Linked DNA regions of Stegostoma tigrinum. The protein of the gene in region 2 binds, or shares a complex with, the protein of the main gene of each other region. Links are inferred from orthologs where the notes say so. Each region holds a gene or a part of one and is shown on either strand. Other genes may lie near its edges.

What was found.
Region 1: the proteins of pak4 (region 2) and itgb5 are in contact, whole or in part, in a crystal structure (PDB 7S46), measured with the Homo sapiens proteins. The link is inferred for Stegostoma tigrinum from reciprocal best matches to the Homo sapiens genes PAK4 and ITGB5. Residues at the interface, in NP_001014831.1 of Homo sapiens: Gly330, Ser331, Gln358, Arg359, Leu362, Thr404, Lys442, Ser443, Asp444, Asp458, Phe461, Leu475, Val476, Gly477, Thr478, Pro479, Tyr480, Trp481, Met482, Glu507, Glu512, Phe516, Asn517, Glu518, Pro519, Pro520, Met524; in NP_002204.2 of Homo sapiens: Ser762, Arg763, Ala764, Arg765, Tyr766, Glu767, Met768, Ala769, Ser770.

Annotation. Positions count from the first base shown.
Region 1 is NC_081360.1:65,580,414-65,593,012, forward strand, and holds the start of itgb5 (integrin beta-5), read right to left. Parts: upstream 5,490-12,599; 5' UTR 5,066-5,489; coding exon 4,978-5,065; intron 4,755-4,977; coding exon 4,669-4,754; intron 1-4,668.
Region 2 is NC_081392.1:17,168,631-17,178,992, reverse strand, and holds the start of pak4 (serine/threonine-protein kinase PAK 4), read right to left. Parts: upstream 3,287-10,362; 5' UTR 3,147-3,286; intron 3,032-3,146; exon of another isoform or gene 2,718-3,031; intron 1,848-2,717; exon of another isoform or gene 1,733-1,847; intron 1,574-1,732; exon of another isoform or gene 350-1,573; intron 316-349; exon of another isoform or gene 259-315; intron 51-258; exon of another isoform or gene 1-50. UniProt on the Homo sapiens protein: Serine/threonine-protein kinase that plays a role in a variety of different signaling pathways including cytoskeleton regulation, cell adhesion turnover, cell migration, growth, proliferation or cell survival.

The DNA.
Region 1 (12,599 bases), on a different chromosome or scaffold from region 2:
CTTAGTGATTTTTAGCCATTCGTGGAAAGATCACATGGAGCATTTGACAGAGGTTCTGAAAACAATGGAAGGCAAAGTTGGTCATAAACTTGGCAAAAGCAGAATTTGTGAAGGCAGAAGATGTGACACTCTTAGAGCACAACAATTGGGTATGTACAGATAACGGCAAGGAATGTGAAGACAAAGGCTATTGAGGAGTTTCCAAGACTAATCTTGAAGAAAGAGGTGCCACGGGTTTTAGGGCTGAGTGGATTTTACAGGAAAATTGTACCAAACTTTAGTAGTATGGTGGCATCGTTGACTGATTTGTTAAAAAAAGCACAAAATTTCGGAGCACAAAATAATGCCATGAGGCATTGAGAATTTAAAAGCAGTGTTAACCAGCGCACCAGTTTTAGCCACAACACATCTTTTGGATGCCCTTTAAAGTCGCCATTTATGCAAGCAATGTAGGGGTTGGAGCTGTGTTGTTACAGGAGGACGATTATGTAATTGAAAAGCCAAGTGGTTATTTTTCAGGGAAAAAGAAATATATCTGCCAAAAAAAAAGTCAACCACTGAAAAAGAGTTATTGCATTTGATACTGGCCTTACAACATTTTAATGTTTACATCACAAACAATGCATCAAAGACAACAGTGTATACTAATCACAATCCTTTGACATTTCTGAAAAGATTTAAGGACAAGAACACCAGGCAATTTCTTTGGAGTCTTATGTTACAAGCATTTAATTTACATATCGTACATTGTGGGTCATGAAAATGTTATGGCAGATGCATTGTTGCGGGTTTAAAAGAAAAATGCTGATACAAGATAGAAACATTGTATTCAATGTTATATACAAATGGAGTTGGTATGAAATATGTAACCATATCTTGAGCAGCTTGAAAGTCTGCAATTACAGACAGCACCCGAATTGAAACATTTGCACCGAAAGGCCATGACGTTTGCACGCCAAACAGCATTTTTACCAAGACAACAGGTTTTTGAATTTAGTCAATTTGAATCAAGTACTTAGATACCAATAACCACTCAAATTTGAATCTGATGGTTTTGACAACCAATCTGATTGCAAGAAATTGATATGTCATCGGGGGTATAAAAGTAAAGGGCAGTTGGACAAAGATAGGAAAGTTAAATGCCTTTTGCCACAGTTAACAGCTCTCATGAGAAACTTGCTGGCTCTCTTTAAAACTTTTAGGAGTCTGTGAAAGCACCATCTAAATATCAAAAGGTACCAACAGCATAACTAGTTAATATTCCTGACAGAAGAATCAACTAAGGAGGCATTCCTGGCAGAACAAATAGACGGACAAGGCACAGAGCATTAAAGGATATACTTAATATGGCTGTAATTTTGAAAGACTATATTCTACTCATTTTATTTTTAAGTAGGACTTCTATTTATTGGAACAGCATGCTATTAGGATCTTGTTTTATCTGGAAATAGTAGTTAGTAGGTTTTTTTGGATTTGTTAATAATTTAGTAAATTTGTTCAGTGTTAGAGTTAGATAATCAAATTGTTATTTGTTGCCTGTAAAGTGTGTGTCAGGGATTTATTTTGTTCAACCACTAGAATTTGCTGAAAAGCAGGTTACACCACTTTTCACAGTCCTTTCACAGATTACGGGGCATGATGTTCCTCTTTGGAGGTTTCGGTTTTAGTTCAGAGGGGGGATAACCTCCACTTTATAACACTATCCAGAAGCTAATATCAATCAATAAGCAGAGATGGTGATGATTATTGGAACTTGCCGGCAGTTAGGATACAGGCAGTAGAGTTTTAGATGTCCTCAAGTTCATGTAGCATTGAAGATGGGAAATAGGTAAGGTGAGAATGGAAATAATACTTAAAGAACAAGGATGATGGTTTCAGCAGATTTGCACAACAGCCTGGAGGTGGGTAACAAAGCAGAGGTAAAAGTAACCAGTTATGGGAATAGAGCAGTTAAACACTTGGAAGACAATGTCAAGTCAGTTACAGTCAAAGTTGCGAACACACTCTCACTAAACATTAAATAGCTGCTGTGGAGATGGATGGTGCTCAGGGCCAGGGAAATTAAATTAAAGCAATACCTTTTGTTTTTCCGATATTTAATTGGAACAAACATATGCTTCAGTATCATATTCTGGACAGTCAGACAAATCAGAGACATTACTGGAGTTAAGAATGATAGCAAAGATGATTCAGGTGTCATGAGCTTCCAAGTGGAATCTGATGAGTTTTTATGATGGCAGAATGTAGATGAGGAATAGAGGGCAGCCATGAACAGACTAATTGGGAACTCCAGAGCTAAAAGACTGCAAGTACAAGGAGAATTATTTTTATGACCATGGCTGGGTTGATAAGATTGGAACCAAGTGAGTGTAATCCTATCCTATTGGATAGTGGAGGACAGGTTGAAACAGAATGTTGCAGTTGGCCATGTAAGGATTAGGAAGAATGAGGAGGAATAGCTTATCATAGTTACTGTCTCATGGAATGTCATTTGCAACTGTGGTACAGTCAGAAAATTGATTGGGTGGCTTCAAACACAGAGCTGCAGAAAATATGGACACTGATTAGACAGAGATTAAATGGTTTTGGAATGTCAAAGGCAGTTGAAGATCATGCAGGACAGTAGCCAGGACAGGGTAGATCAAGAATGGTTTTTACTAAGGAACGGGAAAGTCATGGAAGTTTTGATGGGAAGAGAAAAACTACAAGAATATGAAACCATTATCAAAATCAGCTAACATCGAAGCCGGGAAGGGAAGCTGCTCAGCAGTTTAATATGGTCAAGAGAAAACGATGTGAATCATGTGGACAAGAAGAGTTGGGTAGAGTCTGATTGGAGATGAAAGGAACTAGAAAATGAATCAAATTCAGTGACAGCACAATATGGCAGGGGATCTTTAGATGCGGTTAGACACAGTAGAAAGGGGCATTTGTAGCTGAATGAATATCTGCTTTGTGACAAAGATTTCCTGCCAGACGTGCTGAGCTTTTCCAGCAACTTCACTGTTGTTGTTGTGTAGGGTTTAACAAGTCTATTTGTTGTTGACACAGCTTTGAAGGAAGGGACAAAGAGTAGGATATATAAAAATTTGCAGGTGACACTAAGAAGGAACACAGAGTCGATGAGCTGAAGCGTTCAGAAAGGAAAACAGGCAGATGAAGTGATGGAATAAAACTATGACAGTTGCACTTCAAGGAAAAATGTATAGAATCATTCACTTCAGATCCAAAGAGAAATCAATCTTATTTTTAGAAGTCAGGAGAGACTGCAAGCAGAGGAGCATTTGTTTCCATGTGCACAAATCAATAGAAATTAGTATGAATAACAAAAAGTAATCAAAAAAGACTAAAAAGAATGTTGATCTTAGTTCAAACAGATTAGAATTCAACAATTAGCAAGTAATACTTCACTTAGGGACAAACTTTGTTCAGACCCCACAATTACATTCAGTGTTGGCTGGCAGAAGATGAGGGAATAATATTATCAATCAACCAGGCCATTTAGAAACAAAATCAGGAAGCACTTTTTCATACAAATGGTCACAGAAATCTGGAACTCATTTCCATGAAAGGCTGTGAATGCTGGGTCAGTTGAAATGCTCAAAACCAAATTCTAGATCATTGTCAGACAATAAATTTACACAAGGTCACAGAACAAAGGCAGACAAACAAGATATAAAGTTCGCAACACCCTGATTTAACACAACAGATCAGTCTCAAGAAGCTGTACCGCCTCCTCCTCTTTATATAAACAGTAGACACCTAGAAGTTATTAGAGTTCCTGAAAGTATTTTGTTTGATTCAATCCAACTGGGAGGATAGAAATATACATTCTTAAAATCAGAAGTCACACTACACCAGGTTATAGTCCAATAGGTTTATTTGAAATCACAAGTTTTCACAGCACCACTCCATCAGGTGAAATGGAACTTCACTTCAAATTAGCTTCCTTCTGGTACATTAACTTAATGCACTATTAAAAATCTCAAAGCTCAGATATATTATTTCCACATTCTCATATGTGAAGGTACATATTTGAAATTCCATTTTAAGCAGATGTTACCAACAGATGTGTTATGTTGTATACGTGTGACTGATATCTACATAACACACCAGTCAGTTTCAAATCAAATATAATATTGATGACAGGAATGTTTGGATCAGATAATGGAGACGTAATACAGTTTTCATTTAAAAGACATATTTTCAATATGAATCTTCCGAGTCCGTATTTTATTTACGACAACTCATCTGTTGCGATTATACCAGTGGCGATGTTGCAGTGCCTCCACTCGGACTAAGTATTTGGTGAATTTTCATTGGTGCTTCCCATGATAATAGTAAAAAGTTGAACAGCAAATTATATTATATTTGATAATCCACTGCAGGCCAACATTACAGACTCACTGACAGAATGTTATCGTAATTACTTGTTATTGATTCTTTTTAACCAAACTTACAAATTTCCCACACTTTTATCCGCATGTTTCCCTAAAAGTCACTGTTATTAGCAGCCCAAGAACCAAAGGACAAAGAACAATCTCAATCACGAGCTAACCTAAATGTTCCGTTCAAGAGCGAAAATGGAGGTTGCAGGAAAATACAATGTTTCGTAAATTGGGAGCTTGTGAGTTTATAGCAATTCTTTAAGTCTGCCAAGCAGCCTACCTCTTGAATACACCAGCCACAGTCAGGATGAATAAGCAAACACTCTTTGCAGGAGGTAGCACGTCCACTTGTACAAATATTGGAACCTGTGACACAAATAAAGTTGTCACTTTCCCATGCATGACCATTAAGTAAGGGCGCAAATTGTTCGTTTTCCACAACTTCAGATTATGTTCATGCTGAAGTTCAGCAGTCAAGGTTTACTCCACAAACCTGAAGCATCAGCAACTAAATACAAGACACATTCCTGACCACTTATTTACTATTAACGACTTCGACCAAAACGCTTTAACTATCGTTTTAACTTACCGCTGACGTCTTGCAAAATCAGGTAAAAAACTAGATACGATAAAAGCAAATAATTTAAGGTCATTTTCTTGACCCTGGCTTTTTGCATCTCTGTTGAATGTGAGGATTCAAAACATATCTTGTCCCCAAGCCCCAACCACGATCCGATCAGCTCTCAAGTCGCCAGTCAAAAACAGTTGGACGCTGGGCTACAACAATCACAAGTGGACTTTCGACTCAAACATTTCGAGACTTCACGTCTCCCAAACTTTTCTGTGCGGTCGACATCTCGGAAACTCATGCTGACATGGGGCCGAGCCGGAGAGTGCCGAATGATGCCCGATGTCCAACTCCCAGCACTAACTTCGCACGGACTTCTTCTCCGCTCGCTCTGCCTCTCGGATTCGCCAGGGATTGAAGTTCACATGGCTATGAGCTGACTGAGTTACAGCCCCGCTGTAAGCAGCCGGTGCAGTGCACTGCCGGCCGCCCCCAAACACTTTTGTTGCTCTTCAATCGCGAGCTCCGGGACAGCGTCTCCTTCACCGCATCATCCAATCCCTTCTCCGCCTGGCACGTTGCGGCCCAATCAGCGCAGCACACACTGTTAACCCTTGCAGTTCCGCGGCTCTCTCCCGTCTGCAAACCAAAAGCTGCCTGTACCCCGCCGCATTGAGCGAGTCCGTGGAGCCGTGCATGTAAAGCAGGCTAATCCACTTCAGTTTAAACATTCTAGATGCAGGTCTGCATTGGCCCGAAACTTAGTTCGGAGGCCACCAGTGATTTGGCAATACACCCAATGATTTTTGTTACATAACTGTTGCAAGGGGCGCACGATGAGACGTAAACAGAAAGAGTAGCCAATTATGTTCACGTAAACGTTCCGGCGAGCCTTGTTTTCGGGTTGAAACTTGCGAGTTAGAGTAGAGCACAAAACTAACAACCTTCGAGCAAGTTGGTTTGCTTTGTTCAACAAGGAGCTGCCTGGTTTGCAGCAGTAACCTGTCAATCAGCTGAAAATAGTTCAGTTGGTGTTAATTACCGCGAAGAAGCTAAGCTAGTTCGTGACTTGTCAGGGTCAGGAAAGGACCCGATTCGGCGATCATGCCTGAGTGATATATAAAGTAGTGGATTAAGCTGATGTTGGAATTTCAGAAAAGATGTTTTGCGTGTGGTTTATTGCAACCAGTACCAAGTGTGAAAACTAATAGTCCCATTTATTAGTATTTAAAAAGTTCATCGATATCTGAAGATTATTCCGTTCGATACAAGTAAAAAGAATGTTGCTAAGTGAAATGAGGTTGAGGGAAAAGTGTGGCCTGGTCACGTGACATGCGTATTCTGCAGTACGTAGATAGTACATCAAGTGTCACTAGCTGCAGTAACTTAGCTCTGGGTTTGGTAGCTTGGATGATGCGTTCTTGAGATACAATTGTCGTGCATCTGAGCCAGGAGATCTGGGGACAAGACCCACTTATTCTACAGGTGTGTACTAATTTATCTGAACAGGTTGACCAATAACATATGAAGGTTTAGTGAAATCCCCTTGTGGCATTAGTGGTAATGTCCCTTTCCCCTGAGCCAGGGAAGCTTGATTTCAAGTGCCATCTGATCCAGCCGTGTGGACAAACATTTCTAAACAGGTTACTTATAAAATATCTGGAAGGGAGTCACAGATGAATCTATGAAGCTAAGGGCTATGTGGATAGTGCTTTTTGGAGAAATGGTCATGGTTGGGGACTGGAAGTATGGAAACAGCAAAGAAATGGGTGACTGCCAGGCAATCCAAGAGAACCAGGCAGATAGTGCAGGGGTCCGCTGAGGAAATGGCTACAAATTGATTTTTCTGCCTGGGATGCTAGTGAGAGCATTGGCTGCTTGGAGGGGTGCAGTCAGAGATAGGTATGTAGTGTAATGGATGACCCAGCTGTACAGGAGGGTAGATAGAGGAGTGGAAGAGCAGTAATATGGGGAAACAGACAAGTGTGTTTTTGACCACAAATGTGACTTCAGAATGGTAGGTTTTCTCACAGTTGCCAGGGTCAAGGCTGTCATGGAGTGGTTGCAGGCCATTCCTCTGGGGAAGAGTAAACATCAAAGTTGTGGAATACATTAGTACCAATTACTGATAAGAAGGGTGTGGTCCTAAAAATGGATTCGAAGGAGCTAGAAGGAGATTGAAAGTCGGGATCTCTTAACAGCAGCAATCTCAATTCTTCTGCTGGTGCTGCTGATTGCTCAAGGTGTGTCATGAATGCCTAGTCTCATTGCTAGGTTATTTGAAGTCAGTCCCATTTAGCACAGTGATGGTGCCACATTACACAACTTCAATGTCCTCAATGTGAAGATGGGGCTTTGACTTCATAAGAACCATTCAATGGTTACACTTAATAATGCTGTCAGAGCCAGATGCATCTGTGGCAGGTGGATTGGTGTGAATGAGACTTGTGTATTTCCCTTTAGTTTCCCTCACTACCTGTTACAGACTTAGCCCAGCAGCAATGTCCTTTCAGACTCGATCAGGTCAATCAATAGTGCTGGTCAGGAGCGGGGACAGTACATTAGCAAAAAAACTTGCTGATGATTATTATGTCTGATCCAATGCTATTTGACTTCGTGAGGTGCAGAGCCAATTTTGGTAGATTTCCCTCCTGACTGTATGCTACTCTGCTGAGTGTATTCAGCAGGTAGAAGAGGAATAACCAGGGATGGTGATAGTTGGTTATGGGACATTTGTGTGTACAGAATGATTCAGGGAGTATGACTGTCAAGCTATTGCCAGACTAGTCAGTGGGACAGCTTTCCCAGTTTTGTTATGAGCCCTCATTTATGAGAAAGGAGTACTCGGTTAATCGGGCTGTTTCCCATTGTAATTTAAGTGCCTAGATAGATACTAAGTGGTCTGTCTGGTTTTCACTTTTTTGATGGGACTTTCTAGTAATTTATAGAGCCATGCAGCATGAAAACAGACACTTCAGTCTTCATCCACACCAACCAGACATTGCAATCTGGCCTAGTCTCATTTGCCAGCATTTGGCCCACATCACTCTAAACCCTTTCTATTCAAGTACCCATTCAGGTACCTTTTCAATGTTGTAATTGTACCAACCTTCAGCTCTTTCTCTGGCAGTTTGTTCCATACGTGTACCACCCTCTGCATGAAAAAAAAATTGCCCCCCTGTCTTATTTAAAATATTTCCCCTCTCACCTGAAACCTATGTCCTCTAGTTTTGGACTCCCCAACCCAAGGGTAAAAAATCCTGGGTTATTCATGCTATCCAAGCCCCAAGTAATTTTATAAACCTCTAGAAGTTCACCCCTCAGCCTCCTGCAGGGAAAATAGCCAAGCCTATTCAGCCTTTCCTTATGGTTCAAGTCCTTCAAACCAGGCAACAACCTTGTAAACCTTTTCTGAACCTTTTTAAGTTTAACAACGTCTTTTCTATAGCAGAGAGACCAGAATTGAATGCACTATTCCAAAACAACAATAGAGATTCCTAGAAAAGCTCAACAGATCTGGCAGCATCCATGGAGAGAAATCAGAGTTGACATTTTGGGTCACGTGATCCTTGCTCAGAACTTCTGTCCACAGATGCTGCTAGACCTGCTGAGCTTTCCCAACAATCTTTATTCTTGTTTCTGAATTACAGTATCTGCAGTTCTTTTGATTTCCTTTTTCGGCAGAATTCCAAAAGTGGCCTAACTATTGTCCTGTACAGCCGTGATATGACATGCCAACTCCTCATACTCAGTTTCTGATCAAAGAAGGCAAATGTGCCAAATGCCACCTTCTCCACTCTGTCTACCTGAGATTCCACTTTCAAGGAAGAATGCTCATCTAGGTCTCTTTGTTTGACAACACTTCCCAGGGTCCTACCATTGCCCTGCAACACGTCACATTTATCTAAATAAAACTCTATCTGCCCATTGGCCATTAGTTAATTAATAATAGCTACTGTATCTATTATTTGATTAGGTTTTCCAATAGTTGTTATTCTAAATTATCTTTCTTTTGTTGGTATTTTAACTACAGTGTTTAAATAAATTATGTTTTGCTTAACATCAAGTGATCTGACCAGTTGCATTACATCCAGAACATGCACTTTTAAAATAAGAAAAAGTTACGATCTAGGCTACCTTCTTAAAATATCTTGATGGGACTTGGGCTGGTCCATAACATGTAAATGATGAAAATCAATGGACCCAACACCATTGTCACAGGGCTCCAGTCCAAAAAGCAACCCTCTACCCACGATCCTCTGTCTCTTACCTTAAAACCGGTTTTGTATCCAATTGGTTAGCTTCCCCACATTCCATGTCATCTGACCTTACTAACCAGTCTACCATAAGGAACCTTGTGGAAAATTTTGTCAAAGTCCATATAGCAACATCTACCACTCTGCCTTCATCAATTATCTTCGTCACTTCTTCAAACTCAAAAAATTCAAATCAAGTTAGTGAGACATGATTTCTCATGTACAAGCGATATTGACTATCTCTAGTTAGTCCTTGCCTTTCCAAATACATGTAAATGCTGTCCCTCAGAATCCCCTCCAACAACGTACCCACAACTGAAGTAAGGGTCACTAGTGTATTGTTCTCAACTTTTCCTTACAACCTTTCTTAAGTACATTAAACAACCTCCACGCTTCTAGCATCTCATGCGTGGCTATTGATGATACAAAATATCAGCAATTTCTTCCCTAGCTTCCCACAAAATTCTGAACATCACCTGATCAGGTCTGGGGATTTATCTACTTTTATGTATTTTAAGACCTCCAGCACCACTTGTTTTGCAATGTGAACTCTTTTCAAGACATCACTACTTATTTCCCCATGTTCCCTAGCTTCCATGTCCTTCTCCACAGTATATACAGAAGCAAAATATTAATTTTGTATCTCACCCATCTCCTGTGTTAGTTTCCATACATGTGTGGCTACATTGACTTTTAAGGGTCTCTATTCTGTCTCTAGTTGTCTTTTGGTCTTAATGTATTTATGAAATCTCTTTGGATTCTCCTTAACTCTATTTGCCAAAGCTATCTCGTGGCCCCTTTTTGCCCTTTTGAATATTCTCCTACTTTCTTTATGCTTCTTTAGGGATACACTCAAATCCCAGCTGTCTAAGTCTAATATATACAACTGAGTGACTTTCTAGACCATTTCGGTGTTGACCATATTGTTGGCGGTCTGGATCCACATATAGGCCAGCAGATTGTTTCCCTAAAGGGTATTACTGAACCAGATGTTCATTTTTGTCCCTAGCAATCCTCATGATCACTAGACTATTATTTTTAATTTTGCCATTTGTCTTGGAGGGATTTGAACCCAGCTCTCCAGAATATTGCCTGGGTTTCTGAACTACTAGTCTAGTGATAATACCACTATATTCTCTCCCAGTCCATAACTGTTGATAATAATAGAGAAACTCCAATTTTCATTCCATAGCTGACCAGGAATGCCTCCCACTTACTGCCTTGCCATCAGCATATTTTGAAATGACTTACAAGTTGGTATTTGACCTGTTTGACCATATCATGAACATACCTTTCCTTGGCCATCAAGCCTTAAAGTAAGACTTGAATGCATAGCTTCTGGCTCAGAGGCAGGGTCACAACCTGTATTACCAGAAGACTTCTTTGAGGTTAATTTGAAATGGGTCTCCATAAATCCTGCCTGACACCCTCAGTATTTTTGGAATCTGTTTGCTTTTTATATCACATTTCCAGCATCTGCAATGTTTAGTTTTTGTGGTGATGACCTTTCATGATTTCAGTGCTATTAAGCAACATTCTTGACAGGGTGCAAAGAAAACATGCAAAATATTTCCATCACAATGAAACTTAATTTTAGATAGTATAAATCTGAAGTGACTGTAAAACTACTGGATTACTGTAGCGTAGCTTATAGTTTTAAAAAACAAACTATATGTCTAGCCTAGCAAACCACTTTTGAGACAAACCCAAAAAAGGGAAAGAATTAGAAAAAGTTGCAATTTTAATTGTATTGTTTTGAAATGTTATAATTGAACAATGCTAATTGGATTATATTGGATATTTTTCCTTAAACTAACAAATATTCCCTCAGCACCTGATGTCCAAAACCACTCCATGAGGAAGTAAGTGTTTTACTCTTACAGAACATCTTAAAAAATGTTTGCATCTACATTTTAATATTGGTTCATAGCTTATTTTTAAGCATTAGTTCGTGGTGCAATAAACGTTGTACATAGGAGAGCCCTGAAACATTTTAATTCCATATTTGAACATAATGGCATTGTTCATGGTAATTTGTGGCATGGTACAAACAATATGTACTTTCAAATAGAATAAATATCATACTTTCAAGTGCTTTGTGGTGGCAATATGGCACATAGCCCATGGCCATAATATCTCCCCATTCTGTGAATCAATCTGAAGAAATAACCAGTTGCTGCCGTATCCATTGCACTGAGACTGTCTTGTACTCTTATGTAATGAAGTTACAGAAATATTGGTTGCTCATTTTATGCCTCTGTATGTTTTTCAATGCATTTTGCTAATTTGGCAAAGATCAAGAATGTGCAAAAAAATCATTTTCTTAACTGACCCCACCACCAAAGACATCTTTCCCTCCCCACCCTTGTCTGCTTTCCGGAGGGACCACTCTCTCCAGGACTCCCTTGTCCGCTCCACACTCCTCTCCAGCCCACCATACCCGGCACTTTCCCCTGCAATCGCAGGAAGTGCTACACATGCCCCCACACCTCCTCCCTCACCCACATCCCAGGCCCCAAGACTTTCCACATCAAGCAGATGTTCACCTGCACATCTGCCAATGTAGTATACTGCATCCGCTGTACCCGTTGTGGCCTCTTCCTCCTCTCGGGGAAACAAAGCGGAGGCTTGGGGACTGCTTTGCAGAACACCTGTGCTCGGTTCACACCAAACAATTGCACCTCCCTGTCGCGAACCTTTTCAACTCGCCCTCCCATTCTTTCGACGACATGTCCATCCTGGGCCTCCTGAAGTGCCACAATGATGCTACCTGAAGGTTGCAGGAACAGCAACTCATATTCCCTTGGAAACCCTGCAGCCCAATGGTATCAATGTGGACTTCACAAGCTTCAAAATCTCCCCTCCCCCTACTACATCCCAAAACCAACCCTGCTCATCCCCGCCTCCCTAACCTGTTCTTCCTCTCACCCATCCCCTCCTCCAACCTCAAGCCACAGCCCCATTTCTTACCTACTAATCTCACCCCAACCCCTTGACCTGTCCATCATCCCTGGACTGACCTATCCCCTCCCTACCTCCCCACCTACATTCACCTCTACTGGTGCTATCCCTGCCTCTTTAACTTGTCTGTCTCCTCTCCACCTATCTTCTCCTCTATCCATCTTCAATCTGCCTCCCCCCCGCCGGCCCTATTTATTTCAGAACCGTCTCGTCCTCCCTCATTTCTGATGAAGGGTCTAGGTCCGAAACGTCAGGTTTTGTGCTCCTAAGATGCTGCTTGGCCTGCTGTGTTCATCTAGCTCTACATTTTGTTGTCGGATTCTCCAGCATCTGCAGTCCCTATTATCTCTTGAGTACAAATTTGTCAGGCACATCACACTCGACCATAATTGGCCATCTAAATTTCTAAAATAGTTAGAAACATAG
Region 2 (10,362 bases):
CCCCCCTCCCCCTTCTCCCGCCCCTCCCCCTCCTCCCCGCCCCTCCCCCCTCCCCTTCTCCCCGCCCTCCCCCTCCCCCTTCTCCCCCCTTCCCCTTCTCCCCGCCCCTCCCCCTCCCCTTCTCCCCGCCCCTCCCCCTCCCCCTTCTCCCCGCCCCTCCCCCTTCTCCCCGCCCCTCCCCTTCTCCCCGCCCCTCCCCCCTCCCCTTCTCCCCGCCCATCCCCCTTCTCCCCCCCCCTCCCCGCCCCTCCCCCTTCTCCCCCCCCTCCCCCCCTCCCCCTTCTCCCCCCCCTCCCCGCCCGCCCCCTTCTCCCCCCTCCCCGCCCCGCCCCCTTCTCCCCCCTCCCCGCCCCGCCCCCTTCTCCCCCCTCCCCGCCTCCTTCTCCCCTTCTCCCCCTCCCCGCCCCCTTCTCCCCCCCGCCCCTCCCCCTTCTCCCCCCCGCCCCTCCCCCTTCTCCCCCCGCCCCTCCCCCTTCTCCCCCCCTCCCCGCCCCTCCCCCTTCTCCCCCTCTCCCCCCCTCCCCGCCCCCTTCTCCCCCCCTCCCCGCCCCTCCCCTTCTCCCCCTTCCCCGCCCCTCCCCCTCTCCCCCCTCCCCGCCCCCTTCTCCCCCCTCTCCCCCTCCCCTCCCCTTCTACCCCCTCCCCGCCCCTCCCCCTTCTCCCCCTCCCCGCCCCCTTCTCCCCCCTCCCCCTCCTTCTCCCCTTCTCCCCCCCTCCCCGCCCCCTTCTCCCCCCGCCCCTCCCCGCCCCCTTCTCCCCCCCGCCCCGCCCCTCCCCCTTCTCCCCCCGCCCCTCCCCCCTCTCCCCCCCGCCCCTCCCCCTTCTCCCCCCCGCCCCTCCCCTTCTCCCCCCGCCCCTCCCCCTCTCCCCCCCGCCCCTCCCCCTTCTCCCCCCGCCCCTCCCCCTCTCCCCCCCGCCCCTCCCCCTTCTCCCCCGCCCTCCCCGCCCCTCCCCTTCTCCCCCCCGCCCCTCCCCCTTCTCCCCCCCCGCCCCTCCCCCTTCTCCCCCCCGCCCCTCCCCGCCCCTCCCCCCCGCCCCTCCCCCTTCTCCCCCCCGCCCCTTCTCCCCCCGCCCCTCCCCTTCTCCCCCGCCCCTCCCCCGCCCCTCCCCTTCTCCCCCCGCCCCTCCCCCCCACCCCTCCCCCTTCTCCCCCCCCGCCCCTCCCCCCCACCCCTCCCCCTTCTCCCCCCCCGCCCCTCCCCCCCACCCCTCCCCCTTCTCCCCCCCCGCCCCTCCCCCTTCTCCCCTCCCCTTCTCCCCCCCGCCCCTCTCCCCCCCGCCCCTCCCCCCCCGCCCCTCCCCCTCTCCCCTCCCCCCCCCGCCCCTCCCCCCTCCCCCCCCGCCCCTCCCCCTTCTCCCCCCCGCCCCTCCCCCTTCTCCCCCCCGCCCCTCCCCCCTCTCCCCCCCCGCCCCTCCCCCCCTCTCCCCCCCCGCCCCTCCCCCCGCCCCTCCCCCCTCTCCCCCCCCGCCCCTCCCCCCTCTCCCCCCCGCCCCTCCCCCTTCTCCCCCCCGCCCCTCCCCGCCCCGCCCCCTTCTCCCCGCCCCGCCCCCTTCTCCCCGCCCGCCCCCTTCTCCCCCCTCCCCGCCCCGCCCCCTTCTCCCCCCCTTCTTCCCCCCTCACACGTCCCACCACATGCCACACGCCCCGCCCCCACTCCCACTCCTTCTCACGCCCCCGCTCCCACTCTTTCCCTCTGTCTTCCCCTTTGTCACCCCCCTCCCTTGGACTGACCTGTCCGGCTACGGCTGCTGGTGCCTGCGGGGGAAGAGTTTTCTTCCCAGGGGTTCACTGCCACATCCGGGAATTCCCGAACCGCAGGCGCCGCATCCGGGCAACCGCATCGCCGTGGCAACGGGGAGAGACCAACCTCCCCCGGCACGGGGGTTAAGGGAGAGAGTAATTCCCTGCTTGCAGCGGGGGGAATCAGGGAGAGACTAATTCTCAGACTCGGGGAAATCAGGGAGAGACTAATTCTCAGGCTGGGCGGGTGTTACTGGGAGAGACTAATTCTCAGGCGGGGGGTTACTGGGGGAGACTAATTCTCAGGCTAGGGGGTTTACTGGGAGAGATTAATTCTCAGGTGGTGGGGCGTGTTACTGGGAGAGACTAATTCTCAGGCTGGGGGGGTTAGTGGGAGAGACTAATTCTCAGGTTAGGGGGTGTTACTGGGAGAGACTAATTATCAGGCTGGGGGTTTACTGGGGGAGACTAATTCTCAGGCTGCGGGGGTTACTGGGAGAGATTAATTCTCAGGCTGGGGGGGGTGTTACTGGAAGAGATTAATTCACAGGCTGGGCGGCGTTACTGGGAGAGACTAATCCTCAAACTGGGGGGGGTCACTGGGAGAGACTAATTCTCAGGCTGGGGGTTTACTGGGAGAGATTAATTCACAGGCTGGGCGGGGTTACTGGGAGAGACTAATCCTCAGGCTGGGGGGGGTCACTGGGAGAAACTAATTCTCAGACTGAGGGCAGGGGGTGGACAGGGAGAGATTTATTCTTCTCCCTGTAGGGAAGGACTGGGAGAGACTAAGTCACTACATTGAGGGGAGTTGAGACTAGTTTGTGCACAGCAAGCTCCCAGAGGCAGCAACGTGAGAAAAACTGGTTCATCTGTGTTTTAGAGACACTGACTGAGGGATAAACATGTTCGGGGACAGGTGCCCGCGGGATCCTACCCCTCGCGCCGAGGGGCTGGCTTCGGTTTAACGTCTCACCTCAGGGGCGGCCCCTGCGACAGGGCTGCACTCCCGCAGCACCACACGGAGGATTTCTGATCGAGGGGGTGTCACCGTCGACGGTGTCTGTCGAAACGTCTGGCCTGCTCCCAGCGGTGACTCCCCGCCCCGGCGTGGTGCTGTCGTGTCGCTGGCCTGCTCCAGAGCCAGGCCCCGGCGCGGACTGGAAGCTAAGTGGTCGGCTGTGCTGAACTTTTATTTCTGTAAAGCTGGACATTTTTGTGTTCTGTACTGAAAACAAGTGCAGGGGACCCCCCCGGGGGCCAGAGAACATCCATTGCTGGGGGGGAGAGAGAGACTTTCGAGCCTGGGTTTTATGGTCTGCATCGTGTAAAGCTTGTAACGAGAGGAGCCTGGGCACTTGCACATCGCAGTGGCAGTGTATAAACTGTTTTTAACTGTACTCACCGAGTACGTGTGACAACAAAGACTGTCCTGTCCTAATACTAACTCCCTGCCGGCCTGGACTAAAGTCCTTGGTGTTAGTTGTACCGGACCTAACACGTCCGACCGACATCGCTCAACCAGCAAAGTCTCCATCTGAAATATTGCTGCCCTCTGGCACCTGCTGGTTTTATGATGGTCTCACATCTCGATCCAGTTCTCGAAAGGTTTTGGAGCAGAAACACGAGAACACACACAGATTGTAAAATGATTGCGGCAAATATATCCCTTTCAAACCTAATCCCCCCGTTCAATCAGTCACAGACAATCTCCCAGACGCGCCATGGTTCTCTTAAGCTCAGGGACCTTTTTGTTCTTTAATATAATCCACATCTCAACTCTCTCGGGCAGAGAATTCAACACGTTCTCATCCACTAGGCACCGAAATTCTCGTCTCAGCTCAACCCAGAGGCAGTGCCCCCTTGGATCTAGTTAAAGTAAACAGCACCTCAGCATCTACGCTGTCATCCACGAGGAATTTAACACATTTCAATGAGATGACCTCATTCCACTGAACTCCAGAGGGTAGAGGCCCATTCTACTTAATCTCTTCTCACAGCCCACCCCCCTCTCTCCGGCAATCAATCCAAGGTATCTTTGCTGCACCCTCTCTGAAAGGCAACTTATCTAAATGGAGAGAAACCTCAAAATGTTTTGTAGAGCGACCTGGGTATCCTTGTGCATGAATTGCACAAAACTAGTGTGCAAGTAGAGCAGATAATAAGGAAGGAAAATGGAATTTTCATATATACTGCTAAAAGAATAGAGCATAAGAGGAGGGAAGTGTTGCTAATACTGTACAAGGCATTAGTGAAACCACACCTTGAGTATTGCATACAATTTTTGGACCACTTACTTGAGGAAAGATGTCATTGAATTGGGGGCCATTAATAAGAGCCTCACAAGATTAATTCTAGAGATAAAAGAGTTTGTCTTATGTCAGTGTAGATTTATATGCTCTTGATTTTAGATGTAATTGAGATCTTAAAATACTATAAGACCATAAGACATAGGAGTGGAAGTAAGGCCATTCAGCCCATCAAGTCCACTCTGCCATTTAAATCATGGCTGATGGGCATTTCAACTCCACTTTCCTGCACTCTCCCCGTAGCCCTTGATTCCTTCTGAGATCAAGAATTTGTCGATCTCTGCCTTGAAGGCATCCAACGTCCCAGCCTCCGCTGCACTCTGCGGCAATGAATTCCACAAACCCACCACTTTCTGGCAGAAGAAATGTCTCCTCGTTTCAGTTTTAAATTTACCCCCTCTAATTTTAAGGCTGTGCCCACGCCTTAGTCTCCCCGCCTAACGTAAACAACTTCCTAGCGTCCACCCCTTCTAAAACGTACATTATCTTGTAAGCTTCTATTAGATCTCCTCTCAACCTTCTAAACTCTAATGAGTACAATCCCAGGATCCTTAGCCACTCATCATACGTTAAACCAACCACTCCAGGGATCATCCGTGTGAATCTCTGCTGGACACGCTCCAGGGCTAATATGACCTTCCTGAGGTGTGGGGCCCAAAATTGGACACAGTATTCTAAATGGGGCCTAAATAGAGCTCTATAAAGTCTCAGAAGCACATTGCTGCTTTTATATTCCAACCCTCTTGAGATAAACGACAACATTACATTCGCTTTCTTAATTACGGACTCTACCTGCAAGTTAACCTTTAAAGAGTCCTGGACCAACACTCCCAGATCCCTTTGTACTTCTCCTTTGCGAATTTTCTCACCATTTAGAAAATAGTCCATGCCTGTATTCTTTTTTCCCAAAGTGCAAAACCTCACATTTACTCACATTGAATTTCATCAGCCATTTCCTGGACCACTCTCCTAAACTGTCTAAATCTTTCTGCAGCTTCCCCACCTCCTCAGTACTACCTGCCTGTCCACCTATCTTCGTATCATCGGCAAACTTCGCCAGAATGCCCCCGGTCCCTTCATCCAGATCATTAATGTATAAGGTGAACAGCTGTGGCCCCAACATTGAACCCTGCGGGACACCACTCGTCACCGGTTGCCATTCCGAAAAAGAGCCTTTTATCCCAACTCTCTGCCTTCTGTCAGACAGCTAATCCTCGATCCAAGCCAGTAGCTCACCTCGAACACCATGGGCCCTTACTAAAGGGGATCAACAGAGTAAATGTAGAGACAATGTATCCTAGATAATAAAGTGTGAAGCTGGATGAACACAGCAGGCCAAGCAGCATCTCAGGAGCACAAAAGCTGACGTTTTAGGCTTAGACCCTTCATCAGAGAGCTCTCTTTTAAATGTTGTTAACGTACCCCCCTCAACCACTTCCACTGGCAGCTCGTTCCATATGTGTACCACTCACTGTGTAAAAAAGTTACCCTTCAGGTTCCCATGTATTTTGTCCCCTCTTACCTTAAACTGATGCCCTCTAGTCCTCGATCAGAGAGCTCTCTGATGAAGGGTCTAGGCCCGAAACGTCAGCTTTTGTGCTCCTGAGATGCTGCTTGGCCTGCTGTGTTCATCCAGCTTCACACTTTATTATCTTGGATTCTCCAGCATCTGCAGTTCCCATTATCACTGAGACAATTTATCCTTATGTGTGTCAATATGGAACAAGAGGGTCACAGTCATAGAATGAGGATTTAAGACTGAATTGAGGAGGAATTACATCCCTCCAAGGTCCATGAGCCTGTGGAATTCACTAGTGTGAGGGTGCTGAATAATTTAAGGAGATAGATTTTTAGTTTGTAATGGGTTAAAGGGTTATGGGATTTGAGGCCAGGATGAGATCAGCCATGATCATTTTGAATTGAGGAGCAGACCTGAGGGGTTGATTGGCCTCCACCTGCTCATAGTTCTTGTATAATGACATATCACACAAGTCAACAAAACATGCTCAGTATTGGTAGGAGGAATGTATTTCTGCATTTTATCCAACGCACTGCCAAAGCGTAAAGATTGTCATTTTTGTGAACATAGAACTCTGCATCGAGTCAAAGACTCCTACAGCACGGAGACATGCCCTTCAGCCCAAACTGGTCCATGCCGACCAAAATGTCCATCCACGCTAAATCTATTTTCCTGAACTTGGCCAAAATACTTCTAAGCTTTTGTTATCCATGTATTATCCAAATGCCTTTTAAATGTTGTTAACGTACCCCCCTCAACCACTTCCACTGGCAGCTCGTTCCATATGTGTACCACTCACTGTGTAAAAAAGTTACCCTTCAGGTTCCCATGTATTTTGTCCCCTCTTACCTTAAACTGATGCCCTCTAGTCCTCGATTTTCCCCAACCCTGGGAAAAAGACTGAATGCATTCACCCTATCCATGCCTTTCATGACGTAATACATTTCCATCAGATCATCCCTCAGTCTCTTATGCTCGTTAGAAAAAAGTCCCACCGTGTCCAACCTCTCCCAATAACTCTGTCCCTTGGGTCCTGGCAACATCCATGTAAATTTCTCCTGCACTGTTTCCAGTTTAATAACCTCCTTCCTATAGAATGTTGACCAAAACTGAACACGGTACTCTCAAATGCGGCCCCACCAATGTCCTGCACAACTGCAACATAACATCCCAACTTCCATACTCAGTGCCCTGACTGATGAAGACCAGTGTGCCAAAAGCCTTCTTAACTGCCCTGCCTACCAGTGCCTCCACTTTCAGAGAACCGTACATCTGAACTCCAAGGTCCCTCTGTTCCACTACACTCCTTAAGGGCCTACCATTCACCATGAAACTCCTACCTTGATATGACTTTGCAAAACGCAATATCTCACACTTATTATTAAACTCCATTTGCTACTTCTCAGCTCACTTCCCCAACTGATCAAGATCCTGCTGCAATTTCTAATAACCTTCCTCACTGTCCACGATACCACCTATTTTAGTGTCACCTGCAAACTTACTAATCATCCTTTGTATACTCTCATCTGAATCATTGACATAGATAACAAATACCAATAGGCCCAGCACCAACCCCTGAGGCACACCAATAGTCACAGGCCTCCAATTTGACAAACCTCCTTCCACTATTCCTCTCTGAATCCTAGCATCAAGCCAATTGTGCATCCAATTTGCCAGCTCTCCCTGCATTCTATACAATCTAACCTTCCAGAGCAGCCTCCCATGTGGAACCTTATCAAAGGCTTTAATGAAATCCACACAGACTACATCTACCGTCCTGCTCTTATCGACCTTTCTGATCACTTCAAAGAACTTGAAAAGATTTATAGGGCATCATCTTCCACACACAAAACCATGCCATCCTCATCAGACCCTGCCTTTCCAAATGCATGCATATCTTATCCCTCAGAATCTTCTCAAATAAGTTACCCACCACAATTTTAGATTTACTGTTCTATAATTCCCTGGTTTTTCTATGCAGCCCTTCTTGAATAAGGGCACAACATTCTGTACCCTCCAGTCTTCTGGGACCACACCCTTGGCTAATGATGCAAAGCCAGGCCTCCTGCAATTTTTTCTCTAGCCTCTTGTAGGGTTCTTGGATAGATCTGGTCAGGATCAGGAGATTTATCCACCTTCAGGCATTCTAATACTTCCAACACCACCTCTACTGCGATATGGGCTATTTCCAAGATATCGCCACTAATTTCCCCAACTTCCCAAGTCTTCATGTCTTTCTTATGGTAAACACAGAGGAGAAATATTCAGTGAGGACCTCGCCCATCTCCTGTGGTTCCACACATACATGTCCACTTTGGTCCTTGAGGGATCCTATTTTCTCTCTAGTTATTCTTTTTCCTTTAATATACTTAAAGAATCTCTTTGGATTCATCCTAATCTTCTCAGCCAAAGCTGTCTTGTGCCCTCTTTTTGCCCTCCTGATTTCCTTCTTCGTAAACTTCCTGTATCCCCTACATACCTCTAGGGATTCCCTTGATCCCAGCTGCCTGTGCCAGAGCCATGCCTCCTTTTTTCTGGTCAAAACCTCAAAATCTTTTGTCATCCAGGCTTCCCTACTCCTGCCAATCTTGCCCTCCACCCTCACAGGAACATACAGACCCCGAACTCTAACTGTCACTCTCAACAGCCTCTCCCTTGCCAGCCGTCCTTTAGCCCACAAACTACTCCAATCAACCCCTGCAAGCTCCTATCCAAGTCGATCAAAATTCACCTTGCCCCAGTTTAGAACTTGAACCTGTGGAATAATTTTGCCCCTCTCCATAACTATTTTAAAATTAATACAACTACAGTCACTGGTCCTGAAGTGCTCCCCCACTGTCACTGCAGTCACCTGCCTTGCCCTATTTCCCAACAGTAGGTCGAGTTTTGCCGCTTCCTGAATTGGACCCTCCATATACTGCTTAAGGCAACTTTCCTGAACACATTTAACAAATTCAACCCCATCGAAGCCCTTAGCAGTATGGCTGTCCCAGTCAATGTTAAGAAAGTTAAAATCCCCCACTATGACAATCCTATTGTTCCTGCAAGTTTCCCCAGACTCCCTGCATATTTGTTCCTCTAATTTCCATCAACTATTTGGGGGCCTATAGTACAACCCCAATAATGTCACCATCCTCTTCTTATTTCTTAGCTCCACCCACAAAGCCTCTCTGGATGATCCCTCAGTTATTTCTTCTCTATTGCTGGGATACTCCCTTCAATCAAAAATGCCACTCCTCGTCCCCCTCCACTCTTGCCTCCACCTCTGTCCAGCCTAAAGCACCTATGCCCTGGCACATTAGCTGCCAATCCTGTCCGTCCCTTAGCCATGTTTCTGTAATGGCTATAATATCCCAGACCCACATACCTATCCACACCCTGAGTTCATCGGACTTATCTGTCAGCACCCTTGCATTGAAATAGATGCAATTTAATCCAACAGGCATTCCTCACTCCCTGTCCTGTTCCAGTTTGGCATGTTTCTTCAACTTGCTGTTTCTTATTACGGTATCTCCTTTCAGCCTTGCACTTGCCTCCCTGCCATTGAGGATCCCAACCCCCCACCAGTCTTCCTCTGTTTAAAATTCTGTAAATCAGGTAGATTGGCTGGTCAATATGCAGTATTGTGCAGCTTACCTGCCTGGTTTTGGTAATGGCTTATGGTATCTCGAGTGAGTTTGTTCTAATTTTCTCAACAGGGAATCTCAGAGACACTCTCCCACAAAGAGGCTCTGAACCTCTCTGGTGGTATTGTGTCAAACAAGTCTTGCCAGGCAACTGCAGATACCAGGAACTCCCTAAAAAAAATTGGAGTGACATGGTGGTCCTGTGGTCAGCACTGCTCCCTCACAGTACCAGGAACATGGGTTCAATTCCAGCCTTGGGTGAAGTTTGCATGTTCTCCCTGGTTAGGTGCATTGGGCATGGTAAGTTGTTGAATTGTGTCGAGGGTTGTGCAGGCTTAGCTGGGTTAGCCATGGGAAATGCAAGATTACACGGATAGGGTCAGGAGTGGGATCCTCTTCAGAGGATTAGTGTGGATTCAATGGGCTGAATGGCCTGCTTCTATACTCCAGGGATTATATTCTGGGAAATGCAAGATTACACGGATAGGGTCAGGAGTGGGATCCTCTTCAGAGGATTAGTGTGGATTCAATGGGCTGAATGGCCTGCTTCTATACTCCAGGGATTATATTCTGGGAAATGCAAGATTACACGGATAGGGTCAGGAGTGGGATATTTCATGGGAAATGCAAGATTACACGGATAGGGTCAGGAGTGGGATCCTCTTCAGAGGATTAGTGTGGATTCAATGGGCTGAATGGCCTGCTTCTATACTCCAGGGATTATATTCTGCTCTCCTGCAATTCTGTTTCGATTTTAATCACTCCACAACTGACACCCTTCCTTTCAGCTGCACGGGCCCCAACTTCTGGAACTCCTTTGCTAACCTTTTCTGCCATTTTTAGGACACTACCCAAACTCTTTTGTTAACTAAACCCGTGAACATTAATGTGTTTTTATGCTTATTAACACCTCTGCTAACCCCCTTGGGGGCAATTTGTTGCATTAAAGATGCATTATAAATGTGTGAGTTACATTTATCTCCAAGAAACAATAAACAGAAAGTGCTGGAGAAACTCAGCAGGTCTGGCAGCATTTGTGGAGAGAGAAACAGAGTTACCGTTTCAAGACCAATTTGAAAGTTCTGAAGAAGATTCATACCAGACTCAAAATGTTAACTCTGTACCTCTGTCCACAGATGCTGCCAGACCTGCTGAGTCTCTCCAGCA